4 linked regions of the Alligator mississippiensis genome follow. The main gene of each other region encodes a partner of the protein of the gene in region 3 in a complex. Links are inferred from orthologs where the notes say so. Each region holds a gene or a part of one and is shown on either strand. Other genes may lie near its edges.

The links.
Region 1: KANSL1 (region 3) and PHF20 share a complex: the UniProt entries of both Homo sapiens proteins name them as parts of the NSL complex. The link is inferred for Alligator mississippiensis from reciprocal best matches to the Homo sapiens genes KANSL1 and PHF20.
Region 2: KANSL1 (region 3) and KANSL2 share a complex: the UniProt entries of both Homo sapiens proteins name them as parts of the NSL complex. The link is inferred for Alligator mississippiensis from reciprocal best matches to the Homo sapiens genes KANSL1 and KANSL2.
Region 4: KANSL1 (region 3) and KANSL3 share a complex: the UniProt entries of both Homo sapiens proteins name them as parts of the NSL complex. The link is inferred for Alligator mississippiensis from reciprocal best matches to the Homo sapiens genes KANSL1 and KANSL3.

Annotation. Positions count from the first base shown.
Region 1 is NC_081832.1:36,719,424-36,726,282, forward strand, and holds the start of PHF20 (PHD finger protein 20), read right to left. Parts: upstream 3,009-6,859; 5' UTR 2,598-3,008; intron 1-2,597. UniProt on the Homo sapiens protein: Methyllysine-binding protein, component of the MOF histone acetyltransferase protein complex.
Region 2 is NC_081838.1:6,530,236-6,537,673, forward strand, and holds the start of KANSL2 (KAT8 regulatory NSL complex subunit 2), read right to left. Parts: upstream 3,008-7,438; 5' UTR 2,924-3,007; coding exon 2,676-2,923; intron 62-2,675; coding exon 1-61. UniProt on the Homo sapiens protein: Non-catalytic component of the NSL histone acetyltransferase complex, a multiprotein complex that mediates histone H4 acetylation at 'Lys-5'- and 'Lys-8' (H4K5ac and H4K8ac) at transcription start sites and promotes transcription initiation.
Region 3 is NC_081827.1:158,971,405-158,978,865, reverse strand, and holds the start of KANSL1 (KAT8 regulatory NSL complex subunit 1), read right to left. Parts: upstream 3,003-7,461; 5' UTR 2,987-3,002; intron 2,876-2,986; exon of another isoform or gene 1,276-2,875; 5' UTR 1,142-1,275; intron 1-1,141. UniProt on the Homo sapiens protein: Non-catalytic component of the NSL histone acetyltransferase complex, a multiprotein complex that mediates histone H4 acetylation at 'Lys-5'- and 'Lys-8' (H4K5ac and H4K8ac) at transcription start sites and promotes transcription initiation.
Region 4 is NC_081830.1:10,566,587-10,573,604, forward strand, and holds the start of KANSL3 (KAT8 regulatory NSL complex subunit 3), read right to left. Parts: upstream 3,016-7,018; 5' UTR 2,932-3,015; intron 2,462-2,931; exon of another isoform or gene 2,458-2,461; 5' UTR 2,425-2,457; coding exon 2,210-2,424; intron 1-2,209. Other genes in the region: ARID5A (AT-rich interactive domain-containing protein 5A), read right to left, coding at 6,462-7,018. UniProt on the Homo sapiens protein: Non-catalytic component of the NSL histone acetyltransferase complex, a multiprotein complex that mediates histone H4 acetylation at 'Lys-5'- and 'Lys-8' (H4K5ac and H4K8ac) at transcription start sites and promotes transcription initiation.

The sequences.
Region 1 (6,859 bases), on a different chromosome or scaffold from region 3:
AGGGAAGGAGCCCAGGGAAAAGCTGAGTGCAGGGGGGGGGGGGCAGCCCCTCCCCCGGCCCCACAGCCAGTACCTCACGCTGCAGCTGCTTGCAGCATGCATGGGGCTGTTCGGAGCAAGCACAGGCAGCCCCACACAGGCTGCAAGCAGCTACCACGCAGGGCACTGGGTGTGGGCGGGCCACTTCCTCCCCCCCCCACCACCTTCCCCTCAAAGGAAGATAGCATCCTAAAACTAGTATTTTCACTCATTTGCTACTAGTACTTACGTAATAAATTGTGTTGGTGACTTGAAATACAGATCATATATTTTGCTGGAGAAGCACGTTTGGCCCAGAAAGGTGTGTACCACCCCCTTACAAAGACCGTGAATAACTGGAGGTAAGACTGAAGACTCATCATCGCCCCTGCAATATGCTTGCTTCCCCACACACTTCCACCAAGCAGACAGCTATGAACCCTCATTTTATAGAATGAAGCCTACAGATCTAATGGCAATCCATAAAGTTTGTGTATTCCAAACTATATAGTCCATGTCATCTTGTTTTGTATTCAAAATTACTACTTTATTCCTGGGAATCACAAGTTCAAGAAATCTAACAAGTTCTCATTTATGTCAAATACAAATATTTAAGAGATCAACAAGGAACTGAGAGAACTAGAGTAAGAAGTGTTTTCAGGGAAAGAACACAGAGAACCTGATCAGGACAAAGAAAAATGGGCATTTGGTATAGCGCAAGACTTCTATTATCACAGTTACTGCCTGCATTCAGACACGTGTGTAATAATGAATCCATACTTATTCACAAATGAAGATTTACAACCTGGAATAATTTACTCTCAAAATGATTAAGGTAAACAGTCTCATTTCCATTGAGAAAAAAACACTAACAGACAAGTAACAGGAAAAGAACACTGGCTGCTTGCAGATATAGAAAAAAAAGCAAAAAAAACCCCAAGACACACACTTTAAACTTAGTGCACTCCTGCACTGAGCCCAGCACATGCCTAGAAGAGGCCTCGCATTAATTCAACCCAGCTCTGCAGCATCTATAGATTGGGCGCTTTACTGTGACTTGTTGCGGCTTCTACCTAATAGCCAATTGAATCAGCTTTAGATAAAAGCGACAAAGCCCTGCTAAAGCGCCTTATCTATACAGATCCTGCAGCGGCCAGGTCGTAATAATGCGCTACTGCTTCCAGTAAAGCATTGGGGGGGGAGGGATTGTTGTTGTTCAGACATGTCTGAAAGCAGCCATTAAGTCTAACTTCAAACTTGGTAAGTTTCAATTAAGTAAAATGACAAAATACTTAGCTTCAAATAGAGCTGCAATTTTTTGGTGTACTGCACAATATCACACACTACCTAAAATTCCATATCACATGGATGTTTCAAAAATGTAAATTACAATCCATCTTGATTTAATTTATCCACTCTACCAATAATGGAAGTGTGCTTGAAAAACGTGTTATAATTTTAGTTAAAGTTTCTTTAAAAATCTGGAATCAGAATAAATCAAGGGCAGAGGAATTTTTCCATGGTTTTCCAAAGTGAGAAGTTAATTATTCAAAGCTAAATTAAAAGATGCATACTGCTTTCTAAATATTTTTTTTCCAAAAAAACCCACAAAAAACAAACCTCTCTAGAACTCTTGGTTCAGAGATACCTTGTATCAGACACTACTGCCAATCTGCTTCAATTCTTAACTAGCCTACCTACATTACTAATTAGGATGCCTTGCTTGAGCAGATTAAATTTTCCTGAATGCCCTTTTTGTTCTGTAATCCAACTCGTTTTTGGTTGCAATTTAATTTATTCAAGCCTTCTAGAACAGCAGTTTTCAACCTGTGGTTTCCAGACCCCTAGGAGTCTGCAATCTATGTCTAAGGGGCCTGCAAAAGATGATTATGATGAATCAAAAATACCCACACTTAAAATTCAAAGGGGTCTGCAAATGAAAAAAAAGGTTGAAACCCACTGTTCTAGAAACTAGAACTTGGTGTACTGGTCCACTCTGCCAAGGGGCCACAGGTAGCTGCTGCGATGCATAGCTAGGTTCTTTGACAAAGGCAGTGTAAGGAAAGTTAAATGAGCCAGGGGAAGGCACCAGTTCGGGATTTTGCCACTAGAAGACCCGTTCTCATAAAAATCCTGCTCAGCGGAAACGCGGGGCGTGTCTTAGCTTGCTTTTGCCGCCCTCCTCCTCTGCACTTAACTGCAAAAGCACAGGCCGGTTTACAAACTTTCCAAACAGGCTCCATTTTGCCCCCAAAACACCCCTTCCCGCTGACGTCACCCCAGAAGAGGGGGAAAAGTCTTTGTGCCACTAGCCGCTACGGCTCCTGCGTCGCCGCAGTCGGACCCGCCGCGCCGCTCTCGCCCCTCGCTGCTGCTCGGCAGCCGCCGGGCTCGGGAGGCAGGGAGCGGCCCCGGCAGCAACAGGGCAGCGGGAGCTCCCAGCCGCAGCGCGGCCGCGCCGCCTCCCGCGCTCGCAGGGGCCATGTGAAGGAGCCGCAGCAGCGCGGGCTCTGCGGGGGCGTCCGGCGAGGCCGGGCCCCAGTCTCGCCGCCGCCTGCGCTCGGGCCGTACAGACTCACCTGTCCGCGCGGCAGCTCCGAGCGACCCGGCCCCGCGCACGGGCCGCCGCCGCAGTCAGGGAGGCCACGAACGGCGCCCGGCCCGGTCCAGTCCTCCCCTCCCCACTTTGTGGGGGCGGTGCGTGCGGGTCGGGATTGGGCTCGGCCTGCCTCCCCCGCCCGCAGGCGGCCCCGGAAAGGGGCTTGACGAGGCCTGGGTGCTGCCGGCTCCTTCCCGAGGAATCTGCACGGGACAAACTGCAGAGACAAGGGCACCCGGACACACGCCCGCGCCACCGGCCAAGCAACGCAACAAAATGGCCGCCACGGCTGCGGCCTCCCGGCTCCCCGCGGGCTAGCGAGCGAGGCGGGTCTCGGGGGCGGGACCGCAGGGTGATCGCGAGGTGAAGGGAGGCGCCGGAGCCTGCGGGCGGGGCGGGCGTATGGAGGTGAGACCATTTGTTCGAGAACTTCAACCTCGTAGAACGTAGGATGAGCAATTGTAAAAGTGTCCAAAATGTACGATAATTTTTGAGGCAGCTAATTGGTACAGCGTATGCAAAACCTAAGTCACTCTCAGGGAGCTTTAACTGACTTCTGGGTTTATCAGCACTTTCTTATTATTGCTTGTCTCAAAATAAAGAAATGCTTCAACTTTAATGACCCAGTTTCACCCACTTGCTGGCACTTACAGAGAGTAATATAAAGTAAATAAGAAGAAGCCTTATTTGCATATTTTTCAATGTATGATAGTTTTTCAGCAAATATGATAGTTTTTAGCTTTCAATACAATCATTTCACAGTTAAGACCTGGCAACACTGTTGGGCACTACCCATGAGTGCCACATGCCCCCAGAGGCTGGGGAGGGTGTGGTGAGCTCCTGCAGGTGGCAGGAGCGTGGCAGCGACAAGCAGGGAGCTCCCACAGGCAGCCACAGCATAGGTGGGGGAGTAGCAAGTGCCAACTGCCAGTTGGCAACCACCCACAGATGCCACCAACAGTGTCAGCAGCAGCCAGCGGTGATCAGGGACCGCCGGCAGACAAAAGCAAGGGGGGAGGGGGGTGATGACCGGCAACCGCCCGCAGGCACTGTCAGCGGCCCTTTTGGCAGGGGGTGCACCGCCATGCTCAGGGGGTACACATGCACCCTCATGCACCTCCTACACATTGCCACTAGTGTTGCCCAGTACAGCCCCTGCAGTGCGCTCAGCACCACCCCTCCCACCCCTGGTCATCAGCCCTAGGGCATCTTTGTATCCTGGGAACACAAGCCTCTGGGTCAAGGAGCCAGGCTTGCTGTGAGGGAAACTATGCAACGCATCAAGGCACTAAACAGAGAAGCACTAGCATTACCCACCCTGGGGTCTTCTTATTAAATAGGTTCCTTCTGGGAACTTTGGTTTATCCCCTGGTGGCATCCAATCCACAGCCTGACCCGAGGCCCCCAGATGGCTCTGAGAGCCTCTGTCTTCTCCCAGTTGCAGCTAGCTGCTACCCTGCTCTTTCATGCTGGGGCACAGTGGAGGCAAGCTGAAGGGCATGTGGTTGTACAGGATGCACTTGCCCCTGGGTGGTAGCTAGATCCAGTGACCTCCTTGGTGCTGGATAGTTAGGTGGCTGGAGATCCCTGGTGAGAAGACAGTTTGCTGTTGGTTGAGTGGATGTAGGCTTCAGTGCTGATCTTGGGTGGATGCAAGGATGAAACCACTGGTATATCTCCATGCAGACCCATTAATAGACCCCAGGTTGCCACCCTCATCTGTCACCTCTGGGCAGCAGAGTTCTGTAATCAGGGCAATAGTGGCTTCACGTTCAAGAGGGTTGGGAACTAAGCTGAACCACCATGTTGTAGGATGCTTGGAGGACCAGCTGGCCAGCTTGTCCCAGGATGATGTCCTGGGACAACTGTTCAGACATCTGTCATGATATTTTGGAACAAACAATACTTATTCCACAAATCTTTTCTGGGGTGTTGTCCCATGACAACTGACAAAGACAATTGTACTTGGTCCTGGGGGACAAGTACAATTTGAACACTTGGTCCTGGGGGAATATGTTTTCTTCCAAGACAAATGTGACATCTGCTTGTAGCCGTAAAAACCTGCAATGACAGAGAGATTACTCAGCCTTTTTAGATAATTGGTTCTGGTGCCTATTGTCAGCACAGTGTAAGTAAGGCTGCAGCCCCTTGCATCCTGTGAGACTGGGCCATGAGGACACAGACTCACCCACTTCTAGCACTCAGCGGAGGTCACCCAATTCTTACCTGCCACATCTTAGTGTTGAATATGCCTTTGTCAGGAGGTGCTCTATTTTTGCTGCATGAAGTCCTAGATATGCTGGTTCTGTTTCTTCCTTGGGGTTTCTACCTCCCTTATACCCACTCCAAGCACCACCCCATTGTTACAGTGTATGTTGTGCTCTCAGTGAGCTATCTTCTTCCATTCTTTGCTCCTGTGTGCCTGCATTTGTCCCAAGCCTGGCTTAAGGGGACTGCAGCTGAGCCAGCCTTCAAATCATTTGGTCACAGCTTGATACACAGAAGAGAAATGAAGGACAACACAAAACAGGGAAACAGAACTCAGGTAAGTCTCAGCCCCTAGGGTCATTGTGGCTGGAGGCCACTAACCATGAGGTAATTCGGTCCTTAGGGCTGCAGTTCATTCCTAGGTGCCCAGCCCTCACAAATAAAAGGAACACAAAAAGAAATATGTCAGTCTCCCTGATCCTTTTCATCTACATCTTAGGCATTTCTCAGCCTTGGATGCTTCACCATCTGTCATCAAGGCTTCAGCAGCACCTGCCAGCTCCCCAGGCGCAACAGGCCAGCCCACCCACCCTTATAGACTCAGCTCCTTGTGAGTGTTGGAGTCGGTTCACTTACCCATGTGCTTCTGGCACAGGGCCAGCACTGCCTTTCTCTTCGCCTCTTTCAGGTGGTGGCAGCCCAGCCTCCCAGACTCCGTGGCAGTGTAAATGAAAGTAAAAGTAACTGAACCAAGAAGACCTGGAGCCTTGCCAGCTCCCATGATTGCCAATTCTCTTGGTATGTCTCCTTGCCAGAGGCAAATTAAGGTATACTGGCGCCCTGAACAATCACAAAATTGGAGGCCCCTTCCCACCATGGGAGCTGGGTTGCAGGGGGGAGGGGCCCCTTCCTCTCCTAGTGCTGGTGGGAGAGGCTAGGTGGACCCTGCCAAGCTGGAGGGCACATGCTCGCCTCTTCTTCCTGCCCCCACTACAGCCAAATGTGCACACACAGGTGTACACAGACACACACAGGCATGTGCACTCTGCCCTCTCTGCACATGGACACACACACACACATAGACAGACAGACACACACACACACACACACACACACACTTTCCCCTCACTCCTGATCACATGGAGGCAGCCCTCTGTCCCCCCTCCCCTCCCCTCCCCTCCACCACCCTTCCCTCCCCTGCCACAAGCTGCCTGCAGCTCAGTCTCCCTCCCCGCCCAGCCCAGGTTACACAGACCTGCAGGGAGCTGCTGCTGGGATGTCCTGTGCAGCCCCGCAGATGCAGAGGGCCCACTGGGCTAGGCCAGGAGCGCCACGCCATGCCTCTGCAGGCAGGCGGTGGCACTGGGAGGGGTGGCTGTGGGGGGGCCAAGATGAATTTTGTGGGGCTATAGCCACCAAGGTCTTCCCAGCACTACCGCCCACAGAGGTGCAGTGCAGCACTTCTAGCCCGGCCCAGCCCCAACCACCCCCCTCGCTAGGTGGGGCACAACTCTCCCAGCCTGTCTCGGCCCCCTCTCTCCTCGACATGGTGCCACTTAACCCACCCCTCCCGCAGGCGCGGCACGGCGCTCTCAGCCCAACCCCAGCCCTACCGGACCCTCCCCACAGCCCCATTGTCACAGGGGCCCCACTTCCAGATCCCAGGGAAGAAATGTGAAAGCCACAGTTTTAAACTTGGCTCCAAAGATAGGCGCAGAGTTTAAAACTGCGGCTTTCACTTCCCTGCTGATGAGGATCCCGGGGCCCTAATTGGTAGGGGCCCCTGGGCTCGTGCTCAACTGGCCCGTGCATTAATCTAGCTATGCTTCTCGCCGGTGCTCCCTCCTGCTCCCCGCCATTGCAGGCTCTGTGGTGGCATTTAAATTATCAGGGCCTCTCCAGGCTCCCAAGGGGAAATTCCACCTGTTTTCTGCTGCCCAGAGTTTCTTCACCAGCATCTTGGCAATCCCAGGGCTCTGCTCTCATCTGGCATCCATCCCGTTCTCTTTCCAGCCCTGACAGAAGGCCAGAAGT
Region 2 (7,438 bases), on a different chromosome or scaffold from region 3:
CTTCATCTGAGCTTGAAGCGCCAGGGCATTCCTCCGGGCGTGCTCGGCACAGAATGACACGCTGGGGGGAAAAATTAAAATGCTTACAGCCCTGAGAGTTTGCAGCCATCCAAGGAGATATGCAAAGCAATGCACGGGTGGGCACTCACTGCCACATGGCTGGAAAGGGCATGAATTCCTCCCCTCCCTGCTACCACCCCCAGAACATAGCCAGCGCAGTTCCTCAGTATAAGCGTCCCAGGTGATTTCCAAACCACATACATGACTGCTGAATGCAGACCTCTTGCACCTGAGTCAGTAGCGTGCTGAGGCCTGGAGATAAGCCCTTACTCTTACAAGTAGAAGGCACAGGATTCAAACACCTAAGGTCTTCTTCTGGACCTTAGGAAGTCTGCAGGAAGAGAGATCTGCCGACTGCAACAAATCCTCATGCCTGCCCCTTTTCAAACCATGCCGGGTTTGGGTCCACAAGCTAATTCAACTCCTCTCCTGGAAAAAGGATCCAGGGCAACATCAGAACTGGGATTTGAACCCCAGAAGTCACAGAGAGACTAGGTGATTCGAAGCCTGGTGATGTCTTGTTCCCCTGATCAATACCAGCCTCAGGTACCACAAGCTTCTTTCCATCCAAGGACCTCCAAACACTTTACAACGGTTAACAAACTTGTAACTCCCCCCAGACAATTACAGCTCCCGAAAAACAGAAGCAGCGCCAAGGTCAGACCAATGCCACCTACCCAGCAGCCTCTCTCTCAGCGGCAGGGGCAAATGTTTTGGAGGGAGCGCACCACACCAGACCAATCAAGAGCAGCACTTCTCAACGGTTTGAGACTAGAGGCACCCTCATTAGATGCAGGGCACTCAGAAAAACACCAACTCGTTTTTTTTCCCAGCATTCGCTCATTTTTTTTGCAACAGGAAAATACTAGAGCTGTCCCTCTATTGCAAAGAACTCAGTTTTTAACGCCACAGATTCCTATTTAGACCTGCAGGTTTATCTTGTGACTCCTGCACACGCACAGACAGCACTAAGGTTAAGCAGCACCCCTGAAAGGATCTCCCGGCACCTGGGTAAGACTCGTGGCTCTTAGCCCCCATTTATTACCCATCGTTACGGGGCTAGAGATGCCAGAGGAAACATCTCCAACCGCTGCTACTATCTCTGTAGTCCGTGAACATGCCTAAGCCCAGTGATCCCCAGCCCCCTGGGCCGCCTGGCAAAGCTTTCTCAGGGGTGCCGTGCCCGCGAGGCGTGCCAACACGATTCCTGGGAGAAGCCCAGAGATTTTGTGCAGGGATCCTCAGCCTTAAAGGCCACGCGGATCCGGGGGTCTGCCCGAGTGCCCTGCCATGGAAAAAACACCCCTTGTGTTTCTGTGCAATTGAGAAAAAAGGGAAAACTAAGAGCTGACATTTTTGGGGGGGGAAGCTTAGGGGTCATCTATGGAGGGGGGGCCTATAGAGGAAGGGGTCTATGGATGGGAGGACCTCGGGGGGGGAACTTTATGGGGGTCTATAGATGGGGGGGACCCTCAGGGGGGTCTAGGGATGGAGGACTATGGAGACAGGATGCCCTTGATGGGGCTATGGACAGGGGGGCTACAGAGGAGACCTTGAGGGGGCATCTTGGAGGTCTTCAAGAGGAGGCTGGATAGTCACCTGGCTGGGGTCGTCTGACCTCGGTCCTTTCCTGCCAGGGGCAGGGGGTCGGACACGACCGTCCATTGTGGTTCCTTCCGACTCTACAGTCTAGGACTTCATGAAGGAGAACCCCCCGGGGGTGTCCGTGGACAGGGCGCACCTCAGGGTGGGGGTCCACGGGCAGGATGACTCTTGGGGGGTCTATCGTGGGGAGATCTATGAATGGGGGGCACCTCAAGGGCTTCAAGGGGGAACTTGAGGGGTGTCTACTATAAGGGGGGCTGAGGGGGGGCTTGAGGGACTATGGGGGGGGTCAAGGGCTGCCTGAGGGGACCCTTGAGGGGTCTATAGAGATGGGAACCTTGAGAGGCTAAGGGGGGGCCCTCAAGGAGCTGTGGGGGGTTAGAAGTGTCTATGGGGGGGCCTTGAGGGGTTGAAGGGTATCTGGGGGGGGCCTGAAGGGTATCTATAGGGGTAGATATTGGGGCAGTCTATGGAGAAGCCTTGAGGGGCTGGGGGGCGCTGAGGGGAGTGTCTGTTGGGGGGGGTGCATGGGACGCTGGGGGGGGTGTCCATGGGGGCCTGCGGGGGGGTGTTGGGGATGCTGGGGAAGGGTGTCTGTGTGGGGTGCCCATGGGGGGTGTTGGGGGCAGTGCAGGGGTGTCCGGGGAGGGGTGCCCATGGGGGGTGCTGCAGGGGTGCTCCATGGAGGTGTGTTGGGGGGCTGGGGGGGGTGTTGGGGATGCTGGAGGGGGGTGTCCGTGTGGGGTGCTGGGAGGGGTGCCCATGGGGGTGCCTTTGGGGGGTGTTGGGGGGGTGTCCGGGGGGGTGCCCGTGGAGGGGCTGGGGGATGTTGGGGGCAGTGCAGGGGGATGTCCGGGGGGGTGCCCATGGGGGGTGCTGTGGGGGTGGTCCATGGAGGTGTGTTGGGGGGCTGGGGGGGGTCTGTGGGGGGGGTGTTGGGGGCGTTGCGGGGGGGGGGGTTGCCCGTGGGGGGCCGCCCTGGGGCGGGGCGGGGCGGGGCCGGCACGCACCCATCCTTGCGGTCGGGCTTGGGGGCGGCGGCGGGGCAGCGGCGGCCGGTGGCGGCCGACACGTAGCTGCAGGCGCGGAAGGGCGCAGCGCGGTCCTCCAGGATGTGGCGCAGGCAGAAGTCGCGGCCGTCGAGGCGCGGGCGCGAGCAGGCCCGGGCGGCCGAGGCGCAGGCGGCGGGCTCGGGGCCCCGCGCGGGGGACAGGCGGCCGCGGCCCGGCGGCAGCACGTGGATCCGGATCCGGTTCATGGCCCGGCGCGGGGCGGCGCGCACACGCGTGGGGCGGGAGCGCCCGCTCGGATCGGGGCCGCCCCTCCCCCCGCCCGCCTCACGCGCGGCCCCTCCCCGGCGCCGCCATTTTGTCCGCGCGCCTGGGGGGGCCCGCCGCGCCGCGCCGCCGCCATCTTACCTCGCCGCGCCGCCCCATTGGCCCCGCCCGCCGCCAATCCCCGGCGGGGAAGGGGGCCGCCGCTGCGCGGCCATTGGAGGGAGCGGCTGTCACTCAGCCGGCCGGGCCCACTCCCCGGAAGTGTAGCGTGGGTGCCCGGCGCCTGGGGGCAGCACGTGGGTGCGCGGCTCAGCCTGGGCTGGGCCCGTGGCGGGTGCTCGGGGCTACCCGCTGCTTTCCCTACGGAAACAACCCCCAACTCCCCTCCTCGTCCCCCAAGCCGCCGGGCGGCGCTGGAAGAGGCACCTGCCGGCCCCGTGGCAGCAGGGGCAAGAAGGTGCCCTTTCTCCTGCGCTTGTGCCGTCGCGGGAAACCGGCAGCTCTGCTTGCCTGGGCAGGCCGGGGGAGGAGGCGACGGCCCCCGGCTTCCCTCATCACCCCGCTCTGAGCCTCTCGTCCATCATCTCTACATCATACAAAAGAGAGGGGTGGGAGGGCAGGAGGTCACACCTAGCCCTGGGGTTGCCAACCCCCAGCAGCGCATTGGAAGTGGGTATATACCTCCAGGGGACTGCTGAGTGGTCATCTGTAACGGGGATGCGCCAGTCCATGGACACGTTGGCATTTTAGAAACCTCCCACGATCGATTGACATAGATGATGACCCTAAGGCCAAACCCCAGCTTCAAGCAGGACCAGCCCCAGCTAGACCATCCCAGCCAAAACTTTGTCAAACCAGGTCTTCAAAACCTCCAAGGCTGGAGACTCCCCCGCCGCTCTAGGTCATACCAGGTGTTCAAAGAACCGGGTCTGGTGAGGAACTACCCTGTCCAGGAGAGCCAGGAAAGCCCCTTCAAGAAGAAACAGAGGGGCAGAATACAGCAGCGGCCCCCCCACTCCCTTTCTCCTTCACAAAATCATGGACAACGAAGGCTGAAAGGGACCGCAGGAGGTCACATCTAGTCCAACCTCCAAGCAGGACCAGCCCCAACTACATCGTTCCTCATCTCACACCTGAGCAAGGACCAGTTAGAAAGAAAAGCCATGGACACAGGTGAATGCTCGGTTGACTCCTTTGCCTTTACACTTTTATTGATGTGGATAAATACAGAGAAACATACCTGACAGCAAGATACTGAACACCTGGGAACCAGATTAATTAACCCACAAGAAGCCCTTACTGAGGAGTTGTCACATTTTGTAAGGGGGGGGGGCAAAAAGGAAGGCAGTTTTTATGGGGAGGAGGGGCGGCAGGAGGGCAGGGAACCCCAAAACGATCTTTGTAAGCACAAGGCAGCCCTGAGTGCGAGATCAGAAAACAACATTTTGCTCTTTGGCTTCGTAGGGGTAAGAAGTGACATTTGAATCAAACCTCGGGGCTGATCTGAGGCATGTGTAGCACTTGTGCGTATCCCCCCACTCAACATCCTGCGATGCGGGCACCACCCTGAACGCGCAGGGTGCAAGGAAGCAACAACAACAGCTTTAAAAGCCGTCAAGCACCCTCCCAGCTGGACAGGGTGGCAGCGAAGCCCTCGGGCAAGCTCCCCCCACCCCACGTGGCCCCTGGAAGGAAAATGGGTTGACACTGGAATTTTTGCAGCAGTCAGATCTCTGTTTTTAAAAACAAACGTCCAAAATTTTAAGTATTTCAACCTGTCCAAAGGTAAACAACAGGAGCTCCCTTCAGGGCACGAGTCTCCCACCTCACGAGGCTGAACAAAAGTTTCTGAAGTCACCGACATGCAGGGACAGGGCCACAACCAACTCGGTGGCTCCCCGTTGAGCATAAGATGAGCCGATATGATGGCAGGAGGCTTGGGCAGCAGTGAAAGTACAGAGAGTGGGTCCTTCTCTCCCCCTCCTGAGGCTTTCCCAGCCACCCCTGCTACTCCCCATCTAGTCAAGGCTGCCCCTGCTCTGAGAGCACCTGGGCCAGTTCCAGTCTGGGACGTTTCAGGCTGGATGGAAGTGAGAGTAGCCTCGCCTGCACCAACAGCATCCCCTGGCTGAGCAAGGCAAGGAACTTGCATGCAGAAGGGCAGAGTAGGAAATCCAGCTCAGCACAGCCCTCCCTCCAGCACCCAGTAACTTAAACCATGTCCTTCTTCATCACCACCAGGAAAATCCACCTGAGCATCACTGTGTAACAGTGACAACTTTCTGTTCCAAGACTCTGGTCGCCACAGAATACCAGGCAGGTCAGCACCAACAAGACTTCTTTCACACACACACACTCAGCTGGGCCATAAGCTCCCATCTACCACCCACACTTAGCACCAAACCAGGCACGTAACAGAGCACAAGAAATCAGGTCCTAATTCCTCGTGTAAGATGAAGATAAAGAATGCGGTAAGATAAAGCCTAGGGGCAATTTTAGCTGGTACCAGAGATGGTCTGCCCTCAGAATACAAACTGCTCTTCCACACGGATCCAAGCTGCATCCTGGGCACCGTGAGGGTTTCCCATGATCCAAACCACTTTCCTAATTCACGACTGTGTCAACCGATGGAAGACGGGAGGTTTCACCATTTGGATCCCAAATTCTAAGCAGCTCCCCATCCTTTACCAGAATCCACAACACAGGCCAGGAACATCCAACCCTTTGTTCCTCACACGCCACCACCTGTGAAGAATCTAAGTTCAAAGCTGCTGTGAACCAGGTAAGAGCAAGAACTAAATGAGAGGAAAGACCCTAGGATTCTCATTTTACCGCTGGCCTCTCTGGGAGCTAGTAAAGCCAAATGCTTGCTCTCTATTGAAGATGTGGTCATGAGATGCATCTATTTCTACCAGAGAAAAGAGCAATACTCTGGTCCCTTGGTTCAGATTCACAGCTGTAGGTGACATGTATGCAGCTATTTTCATTTTTTAAACCAGTACCTCTGTTTCCAAAACAGGTACAAAGGAACAGCAGCACCTTTTTATCTCAAGGGTCAGCTTCATCCAGCCCCGGGACAGAAGATTGCATCTGAGTGAGAAAACAAGCTGCTCCCCTGATAAAAACATTTTGGTAGGGAAAAGGCAGAAGAGTCAGACCAAAAAGCTTTTGGTCTAGAAATAAAGTAGCCGTGCTGACAGCAGGGGGGAGGGCAGCAGTTTATGGTTAAAAAGAAAGAAATCCAGAGTGTAATGCAGAACAGGTCAAATTTCACAAGAGCATATGGAGAAAATAAATACAGTGGCAACTTGGGAAATTATCTGAACCACGAGGGAGAAGTCATTAGTTTTTCTGCGAGTAAATGGAAAAGAAAAAAAAAAAGCATGCCCAACACTGCTTGGATTCCCCTGCTCCAGGGCTCCACCAGCTGCCAACACTGGCACAGGAGTCCCTCGGGGAGCTGTTCCTGGAGGCGCCCTGCACACAGGGCCAGACACAATGGACTTCTCTAGCCGGCACAATCTCCGCTGCCTGACAACGCCGAACCTACAACTTGAGGCATGCACGGGCTGATCTGAAGAAGTTCCCTCTCCTTTTGCCTACTCTCTAGTTCCTTGTTCTGATCTTGCTTTCCAGGGGCAACTGCACCAGGTCAGAGTCTTCTAGAGGTTCAAACCCGTGTCGGACCAGCCGACTCCACTGACTTCCACCAGCTTTACTCCAGGGGAACAGCAGAGGCCACACGGCTCGTGCATTTTGCGAGATGCCGCACAAAGGGACAACTGCCCCGCACAATGCAGACGCTATGCACCAGAGACAGCGCCTGCGAACTGGCACAGCCGAGGCAAAGCAAAGCAAAGCAGAGCAGCCAGAGGCCTGACCAAATGCAAGGAGTCTACTTAGTTGTTATTTCCATTTTAGCACCTTTCCTGCTATAGCCACGTGCAGGGGCTGCAGACACAGCCACCTCCCCCCCCAAAAACTCAAGCCATTTCTAGGCACATGCCTGTATGGCCAGATGACATGGGCTCATGAATGCCAGTAATACAAGAGGTAACACCGTGGGACCCAGACAACTATACTGGGGGTAGGGGTGCAGGGAAGACACAGATCTCGGCCCCACATGCCAGCCCGACTCTGGCCACTGAAACAACTCAGCCCCAGCTGCCTCAAAAGACTGTTGAAGAACAAGTCACGTCATTTTTCTTTAATTAATTTGCATAAAAATCTCGTTCCATAATGACACTGAAGTACATTTTAAAGCATCCGAAATCACAACCCCAGTTTGAGCCCGTCTGGGGCACAGCACCTCTTTTCCTTTCCTAAGTCTCACTTCCACTATTAGGCAGCGTTTATCTCAGCAGGAGACTGGAGCAAGGACCTGGAAGGCACCTTGCTGCTGTTCCCACCACCGGGGTGTCAAGTCCTGGCCCCTTTGTGAGTTTGGCTCGGCACCCGCTCCTCCCCCTATGCTCCCCAGACATGCTTTGTCACTA
Region 3 (7,461 bases):
TATGACCCAGACTTCAGTAGAATTAAATTTGGCCTGTCTAGCTTAGATGGGGAGGAAAAGAGAACTGGATGTCAAAACAATGGAGAAAAGAAAGAAATCCAGCCAAGGGCAAGATTTTGGTTCTTTCCTATTTTAGGGTCCTTAACCTTTTTATGATTTCATCTTAGGTTTTAATTAAATGCAAATATATTGGCAAAAGACAGCTGTAGACCTTACATCATTAGTGCTATTTACAGGCATCCCACATCTTACGCGGGGGTTACGTTCTAAAGGCAGCGCGTAAAGGCGAAAATCGCGTATGGTGAAATCACATATTACCATGCCAGCGGCGACTGCCTCTGCCTCCAACACCTCCCGCCACCACTGCAGAGTCGCGCCTATAGTTGTGCGGCTGGCGGCAGCAGTGCAGCACAGGGTGGTGGTGGTGGGGATGGCTGTGTGCCACCTGGCCACCACCGCACCTGGCAGCTGGCCACACAGCTCTGGGCACGGCTCCATGGCGGCGGCGGGAGGTTTTGGAGGCAGAGGCAGTCACCGCTGGCAACGTGGTGGTGGCTGGGCCTCCAGGTAAGCGGCAGCGCCACTTGCAGACTCAAGCCCCACTCCCCACCCACGTATAGTTGAATTTGCGCAAGTTAAATGCACGTAAGATGCGGGATGCCTGTATATAATGCTCTACTTCTTCAAAGCAAATATGTCAACAAAGAACACGGTAGGCATATACAAGCATTTGAAAAGTGTATAAAACAGGGAAAGAGACCATTTTTATGGTAGTTATAAAATTTTGGGTGTGTCAAATCAGTGTACCAGGAATTCCAGGTACAAGACCAGGAAAATTAGGCTGAACATCAAGCACACACATACAAAAGCAGCTGCATGTGTTAAAAAAAATTCAAAAACACTGTAAAGAACCCAACATTTCTAGACACATTCCCAAATCTCTATTTTAGGATTATCTGCCATAAAGAAATTACAAAGGGAACCCACTTCTTAAGTTTCGTCTGGACATAAATAACAATCTGATTCCTGAACAGAGCCTGTAAATACCATGATGATTTTCACAGTTCAGATAGTTCTGAATGTTTAATAGATCTTTAAGAAAAATATGCCACTACAACTTTGAAAGAATGAGAGGTCCTACCTTGCAGACCATCTTGGAAGAATCCATGTCTACAGCGGTTCAGAAAAGGCTCAGGATGGAGGAGCAAGGGAGTTTAATTCTTCCAGGTGCAACCATGCACTATTAGCTTATTTTAAGAAGTGGAAACTTGGTATCTAGAACAAGAATATATTAAGACAGAGGAAATAAATATAGCTTACAAACAAAACATACATGACAATATTCAACTTGCCTCAAGAAAAAAAAAGATTTTGAGGATATGATTAAAAATATGTCTTGCCACAAATATGGAATATAGTACACAAGTGAGCTCTACAATAAATCACAGCAAATTGAGCACTGACACATTCCAGTACCTTTTAAGCCAAAGCAATTGAAAAATACAAAAAAAAAAATCTGTACAGGGTATAGATCAACAATTTAAGTAGAGGATCCAAAAGAATGTGAAGGAGATCAAGATTTGAGTGCCTAACTTCCTCAGACTCATAAAAACCACATTTGTTGAATTTCCCTCTGTATTACCTGAACCACTTAATTTCCTATCATATTTAATAATCTGACTTTTGAAAGTAAAATGTTTTTACCATGATAAAGACTTTAGTGAGGAGCAAGAGGGGAAGGTGTGTGCACGTGTTGGGGGGGAGGAGGGGGGAAAAAGAGGTGTTAAAACAACCAAAAAAAACCCAACTTTCTGGAGTGCTTCCTGGAAGTTTTAGAATGATATCATAGCTGGCAAAGCTTTTTTCTAGTTATATTTTTTTTTAATTTGACCAACTATAATCGGGACCAAGTTAGACAAGCTAAATGCAAAGCATTCATCTGGAAGCTTGGAATTTGATAGTTTTGTTTAATTATGTTTGGGTAAAATGGGGATGCCAAAACAAGAAGGGACAACAGACATCTTTTCTACCTCATTTCCTCAAATGTAGTGTATGAAGCCCTTAGTCCTATGCTGCTATTGCTCCAGCAATGCCAGCTCTTAACTTCTTTTGCTTCTGAAAATTGTTTAGCTGTTGTGGGGAATTTTTTTCCCCTTGTTTTACAAGCCATCAAAATGTAAAGCCTGATTCAAAACCACAAGGGCTGAAAAGCCCCAAAAACTCAAATGCCCCATTCAGGTTCACTGCAGTTGGGAAGTTACAAGGGAACTGTGTGCCAAGCACTCAAAACCCTTTTCAAATCCAGCACGTTAAGGCAGACACTTTTTAAAAGCCTGATCTGCAGGGAGGCAATCCTGTGGTTTCTTGGCACAGGCCTGGTGCAGAGAGGAGCCCTCTGTGCCGGATCCCCTCTGCCCCATCCCTGCTCCCAGCACTTGGCCTGCTCCCTTCTCCATCCCCATTGTTGCGAATGCAACAAAACAGCTCTTCCTCTGGCCGCGGCTCTCCCCTTCCTACTCCCATGTCACGTCGGGCTTCAAACTTCCCGGTCTCCCTCGCCCTGCCTTTTCCTCCGACCCAACTCACTTTCTGGCTGTGCTGGAAGCAAACCCCTGTCCCCTCCCCCCGGCCTCGGCCTGCTCAATTCGCTCCCAGCAGCCGCTGCCCGCGCGGAGCGAACCGGACCCGACGCTCGGCGGCAGGACCGGGCTCAGACCGCGAGCAAATAAAGTTCGGGCCCTGCCCGGCCCCGGCCCCAGCCCCAGCCCCAGCCCGGCCGCCTCCTCGTGCAAAGTTGCCGGAGCGGGCGGCGGGCGCTACTTGGCCTGCTGCTGGCTGGGGCTGGGGCAGAGGCAGGAGCAGGCGGCGGGTGCCCTGCGAGCCTCACCCCACCACCAGCCCGACCCGGCCTAGCCCGCCCACCCGCGGCCCCAGCCCAGCCCTGTCGCCCGGCCCGGGCGCTGCCCCGTTTTCCTCCCGACCGCACCAGCCCCAGCGACGACTCCACATCCCGCACCTACCTGCACCGCTCAACCAGCCTTGAAGCGGGGATCTTCCGCCCTCCTCCGCGCTCATTGGCTGCGGGCAGGGCATGGGCCGCCGGGGTTGGAGGAGGGGGTGTCAGTCAGAGCCGGGGGCGGGGCAAGGCGGTGATTGATGCGGGCGCCTCGCTGGTCCCTGCCTCCGCTTGTGCTTCCCCGAGATGTGTGAAGGGGGTAGGGGGGCAGGGCCCGGCCCCTGCCCCTGCCTCAGTGTCCGCGTCCCGCGGGCTGCGTGCGGCGGGGAGGGGAGATGCCCCCGGCGGCAGGGGAGCCTCGTGCCCCTGCTTCTGCTCGGGGGTGCCCAGACTGCCCCGCCTGAGGGCCGCAGGCCTCCGCCGGGGACACGGACACCTCCGGAGCTCAGAGGCTTTCTGAGCAACGACACAGTCCATCACGCCCCACCTAGGCCCGACCAAGGAAGGGAGATGGGGGCAGCTCCCCGCGGGCAGCACCAGGCGGCTCCGAGCTGGGCGCCATGGGGAAGGAGAGCCGTGTCAGCAGGGCAGGTGGCCCTGGCCATCCAGGGCCGGTCCCTGTTGCTTTCCCAACAAGCAGAAAGCTGTGTTGTCCTCCTTTGGCACAAAGTGTATTGGTCATTGCCCCAAAGCCCCGCCACCCAAAGGAACTACCAGGGCAGCCGGGGCAGTTAGTAACGGCAGTTAGTCAGGGCAAATGGCAGTTAGTCAGGGCCACAGGCAACACGTAGAGGGGGCACCCCCCCCACCCCCCCAACAGCAAGCGCTCCGGCTGGTAGGGGGCACAGAGAGTGCTAGTGCCCCCCAGAAATTGGCTACCCGCCCCGTCGTGCCCCACTGGTGCCCCCCCAGACTCGGGAGGCACCAGTCACCCATGGTCAGGGCAGTGCAAATGCTTATCAAGGATTGTTTTCCATTGTTAGGACTCTCTGTCCTTGGAGGCTTTTAAGGCCTGGCTAGACAAAGCCTTGGCTGGGATGATCTAGTTGGGGCTGGTCCTTCTTGGAGCAGGGGGCTGGACTAGATGACCTCCTGAGGTCCCTTCCAGCCCTAGCTTTCTGTGATTTTATGAAACCAGCCACCACCTGTACAATACTCTGATGTGAGCAGCCACTGCTGCAGGAAACAGCCAGATAGAAGCAGGCAGGGCTACAAGTGGCAGGCCTATAGACAGGTTTGCTGCCACTATAGGTAGCTGTTAGACTAATATTTTAGCTGTTTCTCCTCTGTCCCGCTGCAGAAGTGGAAGGCAGATAGTAGCAGAGTATATACTAGAGGGACAAAAGTATAATTTTGTACCTAAGTAGGACAAGAGAAGATAAATATAGGTGAGATAGTGGTAGAGGAGGAAGAGCTAGGAAGGGGTGAGACAAGGGGAATGAAGAGAAATGCTACCAATGAAGGACAGAGAGGAAGAAGAGAGAAGAAAGTGGAAAGAAAAAAGACAAAATAACAGCAGCCCCAGTAGGCACACAGTGACAATATAATGATAACAGAAGAGCAGGTAATATAATAATACCTAGCGTCTCTGCAGAATGTTCAAATTATGGCTTTGCAGAGTTGGAGGATTCTGCACATAGTAGCCACATGAATATGTGGCTGGCATATGTTAGCACAGGCTAAGCCACGCAGTTAGTTATGCAACCTATGTTAGCTCTGGGTAAAGGGGTTAAGAAGTTGCAATGCAACACTATGGAGAGAAGAGAAACAGGACCCCGTGCATGGTTACCACATGTGCACAGTTGTCAGACTGTAAAACACTTTCAAACAATGTTTTTAATGTGGTATATAATTGCTGGGATGGGTAATATTTAATGACATTAACTGTCTTTGTGACTTTGGTGTGTGTGAGGGAGTTTCAATCCATCCCCTCATTCGTATTAGCAATAACCCGTGATGTGTTTGACACAGATATCCCTTGACCATCAAATGATACCAGATACCATTAAAAACCTGCCACTGGTTCTCAAAGAGAATGGTCATGACGATCATCAGGATCTTTTCCTTGTCTTTGCTGTTACCAGTGTCCAGATGCACCTGGCTGTCACAGCCTGAGACAGCACAGTTCACAGGTACCATCCTGACTGATACTGAGATAAATACCTACCCCTTTCAAGACACATTGCCAAAGCCCTCTATATATATTTCCTTGCATTCAACTGAAACTATTCTTTTCCCTTTGAAAAGTGATTATTTTTTCCCTTTAAAATTGTGGTTGCTGTTCCAACCGTTCTGTTTCACAAATGAAGATGGAAAGCAGAGCTAAGCCAAGGAGAGGACACACAAGGATAAAGGGCAGGGTGGCACATTAGAGAGGTAGGTAGCTGTGTTGGGTTGTTAGTCTGTTATGCTATCCTGCCCTACCTCCTGTCAAACTTCAGACTAGCATGGGTAACTGCTTCTTTCTACAAGGAAGGATGAGAAGCTGAAAAATTCTGTAGTTCCATATTTAATCCTCTGGTTTTGGTCATGGCCACTCTAAGAAAATGGTGCGTTCACAGTACTCATTCGAATCCTATTGTCAGGAAATTTTAGCCAGTGGTTATCCATCTTTTTATATTACCCCTCACAAAATGCTGGTTCTTAGGTTAACGTTTTGACTACTAAAAAATAATAGAGCAAGTCTTCTGTTCTAAAAATCTCAGAAAGAAAATAACAGGTCAGAATCTCCCTGATACTATGGATACCCATTTCAAATCTCTGGGTTTATCTTGTGACTCATGTATTTGCACACCTAACAGTTTTCAATAAGGCACAACACCCTTAATATCTGTGGGCCCCTGTTTGTGAATCACTGTTCTATTCTCTTCCTTAGAGTATATGTCTTAAGACATATATAAGGCCTAAGGCTAAGGCCTTAGGCTTATATATAAGGCCTAAGGCTTATATTGTCAACACTGGGTGCATCTACACAAGATGCTTTGCTGTGCAGTTGAGCAAATTACTGCACATTAAGCATCCGTGTCTACATGTACAGATGCTTACTGCACAGTAAACTGCTCTAATCACAAGCAAATTTGCTACCTGCAAATACAAGTAGCAAATTTATTCTCAATTAGTTACTGCGCAATAGCGCACATGTAGATGCTGACCAGGAGCAAATTTACTCCCAGTCAGCCCCACCATAAGGGGGGCAGCCTCAGGCTAGCCCCAGGGCCCTGAGGCTGGGAGCCTCTCCTACCCCAGGGCTGGGCCAGCTCTATGCCTGTCCCAGCCCCAGGGACTGCAGGGACGCTGGGGCTGCAGGGATGCTGGGGCTCAGGGGCATTTCCTGGCAGCCCGTGGCCACTGCATTCCCCAGGACAGGCTGCCTGAACCCCAATGCTATTCCCTGGCACTGCATCACTGCATGGCTGCCAGGGCCATGCCATCCAGCTGCATAGGGTGCTGCAGGCATCTAACAGGCCTGGCAGCACCCAGGCCCACCTATAGCCAGCTTGTGGCCACTGGGTGCTGCAGCTATCCAGATACCATGTGAAGAATTGCTGCAATACAGAAGAAAACCCCCCACGAATCACACACCACTGCTTATGACGTATCACCCCTCCCTCGAACCTATATGGAAAATCTTCAAACAATTGTAACCCATACTAGAAGGAGACCCTGTTCTTAAGAGATCTTCCCAGAACTACCCATCCTAGCCTTCAAACAAGCACCGAACCTCACTAACTTCATCACGAAACGCAAACTTCCTAGGGCACAAACCACACCAAATGGATCCAGACCATGCCATGACAAGAAATGTAAATCCTACCAACACACCTCCACCACCCCCACACTTACTACACTCCACAACAGAGCCACCAGCAGTCCCAGATCTTACAGCTGCACATCCAAAAATGTAATATATCTCATCCAATGCACCAAACGCTCTGATGGAAAATACGTAGGAGAGACCAAACAACAACTGCACACCAGAATGAACGCACACTGGAAACCTAGATGGAACCAAAAATACCCAATTACTGGTGGGGGGCAAATTTCTCACATGAAAACCACTCTCTTTCCAATCTCTCAGTTCTAATCCTCAAAGGGAATTTACAAAACACTTTTCACAGATGAACTTCACTTCACTTGATCAACCTCCTGGATACAAAAAATCATGGACTAAATATAGACACTGGATTTATGACACATTATAACCTGCCTGACATCTGACTCCCCAGGTACCTCTCCACTATTTACCTGCTACATGCATCCCTCTCTCCCTCTCGCCACCAGCCTCTCTCTCACCCACTGACTCCTCTATTTACATCTTCACTGACTGCATTTCTTGCATGCATACCAGGCTCTGGCTTCTTTACTATTCATTCCATCCAGAAAGAGCACACACCAACTGCAGATGCTTCCTCAGCCTGATGAAGGGTATTTAAACCTTGCTTAAACTTAAAACTTGAAGATTGATACAAATAATTTTTCCAATTATCTGCGCTGGTCTAATAAAA
Region 4 (7,018 bases), on a different chromosome or scaffold from region 3:
AACAAGGCAACTGATCTGGTCTGATGACACAGAGGATCCAGCAAACTTCCCCAGGGAAGTAAGTGATATAGTACTTACTGGCCCTTGCTACCAAAAAGCCGTCCTTACTTTCTCATCTGAATTTATTGGGTGATAAATATATCAAAAACCAAAGTATTATCCTTATATTACTCCAAGTCTAGTACTGACCCCTGCAGAACCCAACTGAAACACCCTTCATTGACAAAATACTGTCTCTCAGATTTTGTTTTAATCCCCACACACCAATCTCCCATATGCCAGAGAGGTAAAGGTTAGAGAGTAACGGAGAGAACAGAAGCTAAACAATAAAGGCAAATGAGACAGGGAGAATCATGAGTCCTAGAACAAAGGGATCCACACCAAAAAGATCCCTTCCCCTGTGGGAAGCAACTGCCCATTGCATAGGTAACCCAGGAGAAGCCAGTGACAGACACTGACTAGAAAGAGGCAGTAAAATCGAACAGGCTGATTCACCTGTTCCAAGCTCAGCTACCAGAGACCTCGTTCAAACACACGTAACTTGAAGAACCCAGATTTGTAAAGATCTCTTTTACAATGAGATTGAAATCTACTAAGGAGGAGGGAGGCTTGGCTCTTACGCATGTTCCAGTGCTTCTCAACCAGGGGCCTGTGCTTTCCTTTTAAGGGTGCAGGGCACTATTAGCATGGTCAGGTGAGCAAACACCTCCATGTGACCGCCAAGAGAAACCCAAAGACTTCCAGTAGGAATCCAGTGTGTCCAAACCTGCCTGCTCTGCTGTGGCTATTCTAAGTTCTCTGCAATGGAAGAATTGCTCTAGTACTTTTCTGAAGTTGAGAAGCAAGTGAAAGATGATCCAAAGGGAACCTGGAGTCCAACACGGTTGAGAGCCACTGCATTCCATACCGATTCTTAGAGCTTTGTTCTCATGTTTTTCTTCGATCTCTTAAGGGTGCTCTCTCCCAATTACTTAGCTTTAGATGTCAGGTGTAACAAAGAGAAGGGAAAGAATTGCAGAGAGACCTGTAAATTGTGAGGCACCTCTTTTGGGTGTCGAGCACATCACTGGTGCAACAAAAGCCATCACCCTAAGAAATCCTTGTTTCTCACATAATTTTGGACCATAGTGGCTATGTCACCCTCACTGTATCTTTAATACAAAAATTGCTTTCCTAATTTTTTGCTCTGTTCAGGCTACAGGGCAACGCCCTGTACAGGGCAAACCCCCCCGCCCCCGAAGACAATGGGTCCTTCACACCCAAGCCCTTTCATAGAATCATAGAAGTACGGTCAGAAGAGACCATGCAGATCTTCAGGTCCGACCCCCTGCCTGGGCAGGAAGAAAACCAGGCTCGACCCCAGCCAGGTAGGCATCCCAGGCTCCTGAGACTCACCTGGGGGGCAGTGACCACTGGCTGGTGTCCTCTGCTTAGCGGCCCCTTTTAGATCCCTCATTAATAAGCTACGACTTCACTCCCACCTCTGCTTCTTCATTTTTTGCCCCCTGTAATTAGCTATTGTGTCCTCAGTGGCCTCCTTCATGGAGGGAGGCTCATAGTTTTCTTTGGCAGGTCTTGGTTGACCATCCCTTCAGTACAACAAATAGGCCTTACTAAACTATCCCATTACAACAGATCATAGAACTTACAGAGCAGTTGGGCTAAAAGGGACCTCTGGATATCATACTTAGTCCAACCCCCAGCCTGAGGCAGGATCAGCCCTGTCCAAACCATCCTCAACAAATCTATGATCTAAACTCTTCATAAAACTGCTGTCAACCTTGACACCACACAAGACATCACACCTGAACCAGCTCCAGGTAAAGTAGGGGGACCATGAGCTGAGATTCCTTGCCTCTCTGGGCAGCCTGTTCCGGAGACAGACCCCCTTGTGGTCAGAAAGTTCCTTATCTCCAACCTCAATGTCCCCTACCATAATTTAAGATAATTGCTCTTTGCTCTGTCCCTGCGGCCACAGAGAACAATTTACCCCCATCTGCTGCAGAATGACGCTTCAGATATCTGAGAACTCCTCAGCCTTGTCTTCTTCGGCTAAACGCCCCACAACTACACAAAACCAGAAGCACCAAGGACTCCTTGGTAGTGGCAGAGGAGATGAAGGCCTGGCCAATGCCCTGCCCCAGAAACCACAGGGGTATTTATGCCTGCTGGGAAAGTGTCCCCCAGCCTGGAGTAGGCCTGGGCTTACATGGCAGCGTCCTGGTGCCGTCGCGGTGTGACAAAAAGTGTGCGGGTGGGTCGGGCACTGCTGGCGTCGGGGTGGGCGGTCCATGGCTTGGCGTAGCTGTGGTCCAAGAAGACCAGGTCCAGTTCACGCTCATGGACAGAGAGCTGGAAGAGCAGAGAGGTCCCCATCCTGTGGGCTGACGTCTGGAAGTCGCGCTCAGTGGCTCGGCCCCACATATCTTTGTGGGCTTCAGCCCCGCATCCTGCTGCCTGACTTAGGAGAGGCAGGGGGTGAGCAACAGACAGGGAAATGGGCCTGGTGCTCTGGCCCCTTCTCCCCTTTCACCTGTGGCCCTAGAGACCCCAGCAGCGCCCTGTGTCCCTGCTGCCCAGGAGTTCCCAGCACCCAGTGGCCCACGGCCCGTCCCCACCGCCATGATGACCCTGACTCCGCCAGCCAGACCCATACCCATACCCAATACCTCCTGCCCTCAGCGCTGGTGACCCCTGCCCACAGCACCAAACTGCTCCCCGCTACGTCCCTGGCCCCAGCACCCCTCCCCCACAAGGGTCTCCATGACCCAGCTCCTCCTGTCCCCAGGGCCCTCCGATCCCTGCCACCCCCGTGCCCCAGCAGCCATGAGCCCCGCATCCCATGACCCCAGCGCCCTCCCCACTGCTCCCTACTCCCAGTCCCTCGTGACCCCTGACCCCCGGCCCCGGCCCGGGTCAGACCCTACTCACAGCCCAAGGCCCGCGGCCGCCTCGGGCCTGGGCTTGCCGCCTACTGCGCACGCGCCACTGCCCGGCCGGCCGCAAAGCCCGGAACGAGGAATTCCCGGAGCGGAGTCTCCTGCCTGCTACGCATGCGCCGACCAAAAAGCCCGGAGTGTGGGATCCACGGAGCGGAGCCTGGAGCGCGGCGGGGCCGGGGCCGGGGCCAGCAGGGGAACGAGAGCTGCCACCTAGTGCCCAGGGCAGCGGCGTGGCTCTGCCTGCGCCCACCCCAGCCTGGCCCAGCAGCACCCACAAGACCCAGGCCCAGATGTCCAAATGCCACCCCTGGCAGCCAGCTCCAGGTCCTTCTGTGAAAGCCCAGCCCGCCCCTGGTTTGGCGGGACAGCACCGGGGCTGCCTGGTGCATACAAGGTCCCCCAGCAATGGAGGGAGAGTGTCCCAGGCTTCTGGGTCTTGCTAGTCACCATGTCTAGACCCAGCACTCTTTCCTCTAGACCCAGCACTCTTTCCTGCCTATGCAGGGGGTCGGACTCGATGATCTATTGAGGTCCCTTCCGACCCTAACATCTATGAATCTATGAATGTCAGGTGGGGAAGGCATTTTCCTCTCTTCTGTTGCTACAGGGATGGCGGGTTTCCCTCTTCCTCAGCAGCACTGGGTGGGCCTTGGCTGTGGCCCAGGCTGGGGAGGGCAACTGGGCTTGGCCAAAGCTCTCGCTGGGACTCAATGCTGGAGGGTCCTAGCTAGAGGGTCTTGCCTGGAGATGATGCCCCCAGAGCCCCCAAATCGCAGCACTGCCAGCTCGTGGCCACGCTGGAGTCAGTGGCACCTGCTCAAACTGGCCCTAATCCCTCCCGAGTGCCACCCCCTCCCAGGCTGGCCCATCTTCCACCCCCACTTCAACTTGTCACCCTGATCCCCCCTGGTCCCCTGCTACTGCCACGGAAGCAACAGCTGCCCTGCCCATGGCCACCAGGGGGCGGGTACACGGAGGCATGATGCCACCTCGTGGCCAAGGGCAGCTCTGCATGGCTGCCTGGGCAAGAGCATTGTCCCCCCAGCAAATACAGGGAGGGTCTTGGCGTTTCCCAGGGCTCTGCTGGGAAGGTGACTGGGCTGGGCCTGTACTTCTGCTGGGACTCAAATCTAGAGGGTTCCGGCTAGGTCTTGCCCCTCCACTCAGGGTCTCATTGATGCAACATTGAGGTCAGAAATCTTGCCCACCCCTGCACCAAGTCACACAGGTACAAAGGGGGGGGGGGGGGAGGGGGGGGCTTGGCTTCCTCTGCAGCAAGGGCATAGTCTCTGCCTGAGGTCTCTCAAGGGCACTGAAGCCACCCAGCAGCAGCAGGGTACCACCAGCCCTCTCCTGGATTCACCTGGGACACAGCCGGGGGCTCTCAAGGTCCCTGGAGTGTTGTGTGGTGTTAGGAACAGCTCAGACAAGGACGTGTCAGCAGGGGTTGGATGGGGCTGGTCCAGCCTGGCTGCCCTGTGAGTCTAACTCTGACCACACTTGCTCGAGTCAAGCTCTAGCACACCCACTGCTCTCCTCCCATCCAGAACCCCTTGCCATGTCCCAGAAGGCCATTGTGGACAGCTGAGACATGCCTTAGCTGTTTATATGCAGTAGGGACCTAGAAAAAGATCAGGCTGGAAGGGGCCTTACAAGGTCCCATCCAGTCCAGCCCCCTGCTGTAGGCAGAATCAGCCTTCCCTAAAGCAGTTCATCCAAGTGTCCATCCAACCTGCACTTGAAAACGTCTGGGGAATGGAAATTTCCCCCCCCAGCAGCCCATTCCAAGGCTGGATCCCAGTAGTCAGAAAGTGCCTCATCTCCAGCCTCAGTTTCCCCTGCTGCAGCTCGAGGCCATGGTTCCTAGTCCTGTCCCTTGCGGCCCACCTCCATCTTCTCTGTCGTCATCCTTCAGGGGTTTGAAGGTGATCAAATTGGCCTCACTCTTCATTTCCCCAAGCTACATCACCCCCGTTTTTTCAGCCTTTCCCCACAAGGCGGGACACTTAGCAGTCTCCCAGGAACAGAGGAAAGCCTCATTCATGGCACTGTGCCACTGGCCCCTAGTGACTACTCACCCTCCACACCCCTTGGAACAAGAGAGCACAGAGCACTGTGGGATGCCAGAGGACCAGAAGGAGACCCATGGGCTGAAAGCCAAGGCAAAAAAGTGGTAGGACCACATCACCTCTTGAGCTAACACTGTCTGCTAGTTGCCCAGGTCCCTGATGGGCATATCCTCAAAGGGATCCTGTCAGAACCAAAAGCCATGGTAGTATCCAGTCCTGCACCCTTGTGACATGAAGCCTACTGGGGGGGCAGGGCCAGAGCAGAAAGAGGCAGGGCTTAATATGGGCCACACCTGCCCCAAAAGTTGATCACTTGTAGCAATCTCTCAGCAGCACTGGATTTTTCCCTTCCCCTAGAAACTGGGTGCATGGAATAGGCGGGAAACATGGGCACAGGGCTGCCATTTGGTAGGTGAAACTAAGCGCCAAACCTGCTGCAATCCCCAAGAAGCAGAACACAGAGCAGGCCGGGATCCCTGGTTGCTGCTACTCCAGTACTCGGTACAAGAAAAAATCTTTTATTCTTTGCTCTGCCTTTCAAAACCAAGGTGTATTATATTGCAGACAATATGATATAGGAGCGCCCGCCTCCTTTGAAAGGGCCTGTTCCTGACCCTGTCACACACACAGACACGCATGCACAGAGACCCACACATTCAGTCTGTCACACCCTCACAAACATGCAGTCATACAGATACATGCATATTCAATCCATCACACTCAAACATGCAGTCATGCACACAATACATATGCACAATCCTACCCTTGCAGTCACATGCACGTTCGCTCCATCACATGCTCATAAACAGTCACACAGACACAGACACATTCAGTCCATCACACACTTGCATGTACTATCATATATGCAGACACACCCGCATTCAGTCCATCATGCACACACACATATTCAGTGTATCACACACTGACAAGCACGCAGTCACACAATGTGCACTCGTACAGACACGTACACATTCAGTCCATCTCACACTCAAACAGTCATACTCACCAGTGTCGCACACATGCTTACTCAGACACACTTGCATACCCAACTCCACTTGATTTAGCCACAGGTCCCCTTCCCTTCCCCTCCCCTGCCCTGCACCGGCTCCCAAGAGCCAGGAGACCCCAGGGGCTCTCTTCCTCTCAGGCAGGTTTATCACCGAAGTCCACAGCACGATTGTGAGACCCCTCCAACATGCTCTGACTTTATATAAAGCCCCTTCCCATAACACATTGCTACACGAGCCCTGTCAAGGGGGACAGCATCAGATCCCAACAGTTCCATGGTCCCAAGGTCCGGATCATGTGATGCTTTCCCTTGGCCCTTTGTCACGTGACTGTGGGATCCGTAGCTATGGTGGATCCTATGTGGGTGGATCACATGTTCCCAGGTGGCCTGGTACATCACACCAAGCCCCTATGTCCTGGCCCAGAATGTCTTGGCCAGAGGCTACAGCTTGGTGGGGCGGTGGAAGCCGTGGGGGGAGGCATAGGCAGGCTGGCTGTGCCATGTGGCGACAGGATAGAGGCGGTGCCGCTGTGAGCTGTCATACGATGTGGGGTAGTGTGCCAGGCTGGTCGCCAGTGGCCGGCACAGCTCAGAGGCCTGGGCAGAGGCAGTGATCACAGGGCCTGGGAAGGCTGGGATGACAAAGGGACTGAGGGATGGTGTGAGTGGCGATGATTCCCTGGAGCCAGCCAAGCTCAGTGGAAACCTCAGCATCGTCCCTGTGTAGGCATCTGGGCCGGGTGGTGGCAGCAGTGTGGGAAAGCCAGGTGCCACGGCCTGTGGCTTGGCTAGGCCAGGCGAAGCCTCCCGCGGCTCTGCCTCCCTGACAAACGGGGACACGGCCCTCAGCTTCTTCCCAGGGCCAAAGCTGCCATCTTCTGGCCCACGTTTGCCCAGCCCCGGGCTCTGCCCAGGCTTGGATGGCTGAGGGCTGACTCTAGCCAAGCTGGTTATGGGAGCCACCCAACAGGCTTTGCTGGCAGGGAAGGCCAAAGCCT